Tribolium castaneum: one gene and its partner. The protein of the gene in region 1 purifies or fractionates together with the protein of each later gene. This does not show direct contact. Links are inferred from orthologs where the notes say so. Each region holds a gene or a part of one and is shown in the gene's direction. Other genes may lie near its edges.

Region 1 (2,689 bases):
ACCCTCGTTGGCGGGGACAACGGCGACGAGTTGGGTGAACTCTCCGAATACGACGATCGTCGTCCTCCCGAAAACTCCGAAAATAATCAAATGTACAGCAATTATCAGAATAGGCCTACATCACCTCCTTTGCAGAGTTCTTTAGTTGTTCCTCGCGGCTTACCTTGGAAACCGAAAGTGCGGCAGAAAGATATCGACTTGTTTTTGGACACTGCTAGATTAAAATTCGTCGGGTATAGTCTACAAGGCGATCGCGATAGTTTAGCTGGACTACCTTTACCCATCCATGAAGGAGTTAAAACTTTGAAAGAAGTAGTGCGCTTGAGTTGCGAGTGTCTTACGGTCTAACTTTGCGGTTTTAGCATGTTTATACTTCTTTAGCTGAGTTGCAAATTCAAAAAGAGGAAGAGATTGCTCGTAATCCTCTCTCGACGTCCGAGGGCGAAATAGAAATGACTCCAACTGAAATTTTGTATCAGGCAATGTTGCCTAATCTACCACAATACATGATAGCTTTACTTAAAATATTACTTGCTGCTGCTCCTACCTCAAAAGCTAAAACTGATTCTATTAATATTATGGCTGATGTTTTGCCAGAAGAGATGCCGTAAGTGTCCGACGGTTTCTTAACTTTGGTTTAAGACAGTTGTTTTTTTAGAATGACTGTTCTCCAGTCAATGAAATTGGGAATTGACGTAAATAGGCACAAGGAAATTATAGTTAAGGCAGTTTCTGCAATTTTATTGTTACTTCTGAAACATTTCAAATTGAATCATATTTATCAGTTTGAATTCATGTCTCAGCATCTAGTTTTTGCAAACTGTATACCTCTAGTATTGAAATTCTTCAATCAGAACATCATGGCTTACGTGGGCGCGAAGAATGTGTAAGTTCCAGGATCTATAGCAAACATGTCTGCATAAATAGCTTTTTAGGATTCCTATATTAGATTTTCCGTCTTGTGTGATCGGTGATCAACCGGAACTAACAGCTGAAAGTCTGGAGATCGGAGACTCAGCACCATTTTCCTGGAGGAATATGTTCTCATGTATTAATTTGTTAAGGATACTCAATAAGTTAACAAAATGGAAACATTCCAGGATTATGGTATGTACAAATAAAAATGTTCTTAATGCTAATTTTTTTGTTTAGATGTTGGTGGTTTTTAAATCCGCTCCAATTTTAAAACGCACACTCAAAGTCAGGCATGCAATGACCCAACTGTACGTTTTAAAATTATTAAAAATGCAAACCAAATACTTGGGTCGCCAATGGCGCAAATCTAATATGAAAACTATTAGTGCCATCTACCAGAAAGTGAGGCATCGGTTGAACGATGACTGGGCATACGGAAATGGTAATTGTTCCTGTTTATTGTTATATTTTTCTATAGTTTTCTGTGCAGATTTGGACGCAAGACCCTGGGATTTCCAAGCTGAGGAATGTGCTTTGAGAGCTTCAGTTGACAGGTTTAATAACCGTAGATATACGCAAGCAAATGTATGTCTTGCATTACCCCGTTAGATACTTTTATTGTACTAATAAGTTTCCCTTACAGCAAGACAGCGAATTTGCACCTGTGGATAACTGTCTAAACAGCGTGCTTGGGACCACCTACGATCTCTCCGAGAGTTTTAAACAACACTACCAACTTTGGCTAGAACAAGAAGTTTATGGGAATACTATCGAATGGGAGGAACTTCTCTTAAACCAAACAATATAGTGACTTTGATATTATTTATTGAACTATTGCAGTAAATATAACACCATCACAATTTTCATCACTGCAATAAATATACTCAGTTTCAATTAAGTAAGTGGTGTGTTACATTTACGGCATTTTTGTATTTTTTTGTTCGTTTTAGTTCAGTTTTTGTGTTCTAGTTAGTATTCAATGTTTCGTTTTGTTTTTGACAATTCCTATTGAATTAACTTTGTTATCCGCACCAGTTCTTATTTGTTGGAAAATAATTCCCCAGTTAAAAAAATTTTGGTTACTTCAGTATTTAAATATATTTGCTATATAATGATTAGTTTGTTTTATTCATTCCCCATTTTTTTAATCATTCTTTCCTTTCCATCCACTCCTTATTGACGTAATATCATCGTTTCTGCATATTGGTCAGTATGTGAAGGATTATTACATGAATAGGGAACTCAAGACTTAACCAATTGATTTTGCAGCAATTTTTGCGAATATGTGAAGCGCAAATTCGAAGCGAGGATTTTAATAAAGGTTCCAGTATCTTCAAAAAAAAAGCACAAAAATATAGTTAAGTACAAAAAGGGAAAACAAAGTAATAAAAAAAAGAATACATCCCAAATGACCAAACGTGTTTTTTGAAACTGACGCGTGATATAGCCACATCTTACTTTCAAACCGATATAATACACACGTATGACTTAAAAAACTTGATTTATTTTAATTTGAATTGTAGATAATATTCTCCTTTAAATTTAGTGATATAAATTTTTCCAAGTAAACAAAAAACACATATAATACATTTATTAAAATAAATTCAATTTCTTAACCACATTAATAACTTAATTTCACGTTACTATTAAATTAACAATCAAGAACCCGTTTTTAATTCCATGTTGTATAAATTAATTGCTACTTCTGTAATCTCTTTAAAATCCTGAAGTGGATATTGGAATGTAGTCAACTACTACAAAAGCTTTATCATGA
Region 2 (3,471 bases), on another chromosome or scaffold:
GGAGAAGAACTCCAGCTAAGAAACCTCAACCCAGCTCATTGGCCGAAGCAATGATGCTCGATACAGAAGCGGCGGTTATGGCCAATTTGGACTTCCTGTCTAATGCTGATGTTGACATGGAAGACGATGATGATATGAGTGATGATGTTGACATTGAGCCCACTGATGATCTCGACGACGATGTGAAAGTGGTGAAACGAAAAGGTGTGCACTTGTCACTTAGTAAATCAGCATTAATTACGATTTATGTGCAGGTAAACTGGATAGTTTGGGAGATGATGTGGACGCCGAAGCCATGGAAGTTCTAAACGAACTCAATCTTTTGTCCGAGTCTGGAGAGCGACAGGAATTTAAGAATGAGCACAGCGAGTGGAAGAAAGGTAAAAATCGTTGTAACCACGGTAGTTTTGCAATAACAGCGAAATTTTCCAGGTTTTCAAGGTGGAGTGCCTAAGAGGCCGCTGGGCCTAAACGACGACGATAACATTGATTCGGCGTTAGGGCTCGGCGAACTGGCCCAACTGACGGTAAACAATGATGCAGAGACTACGTACGACATTGCCAGCAGTAAAGAGGCATTTCGGAAGACATGGAATGCCAAATACACGCTTCGAAGTCACTTTGACGGGGTCCGAGCGCTAGCTTTTCATCCAAATGAGTCCGTACTGATCACAGCTAGCGAAGACCACACTTTGAAACTGTGGAATTTGCAGAAAACTGTACCCGCGAAAAAATCGGCATCCCTTGATGTGGAACCCTTGTACACCTTTAGGTAATAATGTCAAGTGTAAGGAAATAAACAAGAGTGAAATTCACGTTACAGGAATCATACTGGACCCGTTCTTTGTTTGGCGATTTCCGGGACCGGAGAATTTTGTTATTCCGGTGGCTTAGATGGCGTGATAAACTGTTGGAATGTTCCTAATTCTAACATAGATCCGTACGATTTGTTTGAACCTGACGTTCTAAACACTACGTTGCAAGGTCATACTGACGCTGTTTGGGGGCTGTCTGTTTTAAATTCTCGGCAGCATTTGCTCTCATGTGCGGCCGATGGTACTGTTAAGTTGTGGGCACCGCATAGCAAGGTATTTCGTGTTGTGATTTTTTCCGTAATAAATGATTTTTGGTTTAGGTACAATTACTGAACACGTTCACGTCCGAACAGGACGGGATCCCCTCAAGTGTAGATTTCGTGAGAGACCAACCAAATCGTATAGTCGCAGCTTACGCTAGTTCTCATTGTGTAGTATATGATTCTGAAACTGCCAAATCCGTCATGCGGCTCGAATCCAGTCAAGACAGTGTTAATCCTAATAATAAGCAAATAAATAGAATAGTTTGCCATCCGACTTTACCCTTGACCATCACAGCACACGAAGATAGACATGTTCGTTTCTGGGATAATCACACCGGCAAAATGGTCCATTCTATGGTTGCTCATCTCGAAGCTGTCACTAGCCTAGCAGTAGATCCTAACGGGTTGTATTTATTATCAGGCAAGTATTGCGACACTTGGTGTCAGGACATGTGTGACTGATTTTTTCAGGCTCACATGATTGTTCAATAAGATTATGGAACTTGGACAATAAGACTTGCGTTCAAGAGATCACTGCACACAGAAAGAAGTTCCACGAAAGCATTCTAGACGTCGCTTTCCACCCGACTCGGCCGTATATTGCAAGTGCGGGGGCTGATGGACTGGCCAAAGTGTTTGTCTGAATTATAAGTAAACAGGACATCACTTATATTAAATAGATTTTGTCAATCGATACATTCACTGGCTTTACTATTTGTGTGGGTTAGGTGTACATAAAATATTCTGAAGGAGTTTGTATATACTACATGATTGTACTCAAAGGCTTTTCTTACTTTAATTTCTCATGTTTTATTTATCACCAAAGTTTAGACAAACAACTTATGTACATGTTTCCTACACTTTGAGCTTATATGTGCTCACAGAATGATCTTGATGTTTCGTAGGAGTTAATTTTTGTTGTAGGATAGTCAGCGTTCTGATAAATCCCATCATTTGCAATTATTTTCTTGTTTCTGGACTTGCATACCAAAAGAATCGCTTTTGTGTACAGCTGGCCATACCCAAAGTGTAAGAAAAAATTCTCATTTTACACACAATGTCGACGCGTTTTCTTATTTTGTGATAACTAGTTTCAACTCACTAATAAATGAATTGCCACAGGAAAAACATTTTTAAAAGTGTATTAATAGTAACGTTTTTATAATAGTATTAAAATAGCTGTTATTTTATTATTTTAAGCATATAATTTATCACGTATATTTTTAAGTTTAATATAGTCCAGTGCATAATAGCTAAAGAAACGTAAAGTAGCAGTTAACAATAGTAAGTGATAATAAGTATAATTGTGAATGTATAAAAGTGTATTTAAATCATAGGATAATATTTAAGAAACTGGTCTCTCTATTAGTTATCTGTTTTCTAAAGTCAATAATGTATATATTAGCTTAATCATTTTCGGTTTTGATAGCGAGATTGTTGTGTTTATGTAACTTTTTATAGTGGCTACTATTTATTTTGTACACAAGTTTTAAACTGTTTAAAATGCTTCGAAACAGAACGATAAGTCCCGTATGATTTCAACATTGTAGATACAAAGTCATAGGAACTACTTACACCGTCATGTTCTATTTTATAAAGAAATTTCATGTTTGCAATGTATAAAACACCTGTAACTTTTTTAAAATAACCATAAGTGGTTACGAAGCGGTCAAATCACAAGGAATGAAGAATGTATGACTTAATGTATAAAACATAAAACAATAAACTGTAAATACTCAAGCTGTGTCCATTTGTTCAAACTGGCGATGGTTTAGCGCCTAAACCGCCAGCCAATGGCGCGAGGTAATACCAAGTGGCAGTTGGCTGTGATCTCCCCCCACCATCGATTTTTGGTATTTCATTTTAGAGAAAATGATGATAATCCTAGGCGTAGCGATCTGTCATCTGTGGTGTAGAAATTGGAGGTGTGGTTGGTGTTTGTAAAAAAATTTCAAACTTCCGATGTGCTCAAAATGTGTAAAATAATCCCTAGTGTTCGTTACAGTGCAGTTGTTTTGTTTAAGTGAACGTTTTCAGTTTGAAGATGTTTTGATGTGCGCTTTTAGTTAGGTTATGCTTGGATGAGCGTTTCTGGTCGTTGTAATTGGAATTACACACGTTAGACGGGGCTGTTGAGATGAGCAGTTGGGCAGCAAGGATGCACAGGCGAGCTGCCACATTCAGCAACGTGGTCACGTCCTGTGGCCACCCTTCCGGGCCCTACCCTCGGAGGCTGGAGAAAGTCAAGTTCGGGGTACCTCTCGAAGAAGTCTGCAAAAACGACATTCCGGGACCACTTCTTGTAAGTCGTCACACAAGAGGAGAGCTTAAAAAAGTCCAGGTTTCATATATTCTACAGCGTGTTTTTTGGGTTAAAATCTTTGTTAGAAGAA

Evidence for each region.
Region 2: the proteins of Strip (region 1) and Cka purify together in Drosophila melanogaster (affinity purification with western blotting; 4 studies listed by BioGRID, with this or other methods). This does not show direct contact. The link is inferred for Tribolium castaneum from reciprocal best matches to the Drosophila melanogaster genes Strip and Cka.

The regions. Positions count from the first base shown.
Region 1 is NC_087403.1:5,463,186-5,465,874, forward strand, and holds the end of Strip (striatin-interacting protein 1), read left to right. Parts: coding exon 1-312; intron 313-362; coding exon 363-607; intron 608-658; coding exon 659-886; intron 887-935; coding exon 936-1,107; intron 1,108-1,152; coding exon 1,153-1,357; intron 1,358-1,405; coding exon 1,406-1,500; intron 1,501-1,558; coding exon 1,559-1,723; 3' UTR 1,724-2,030; downstream 2,031-2,689.
Region 2 is NC_087402.1:3,095,088-3,098,558, reverse strand, and holds the end of Cka (striatin-3), read left to right. Parts: coding exon 1-204; intron 205-254; coding exon 255-380; intron 381-432; coding exon 433-772; intron 773-823; coding exon 824-1,088; intron 1,089-1,135; coding exon 1,136-1,499; intron 1,500-1,549; coding exon 1,550-1,722; 3' UTR 1,723-2,818; downstream 2,819-3,471. Other genes in the region: uncharacterized protein RhoGAP71E, read left to right, coding at 3,216-3,380.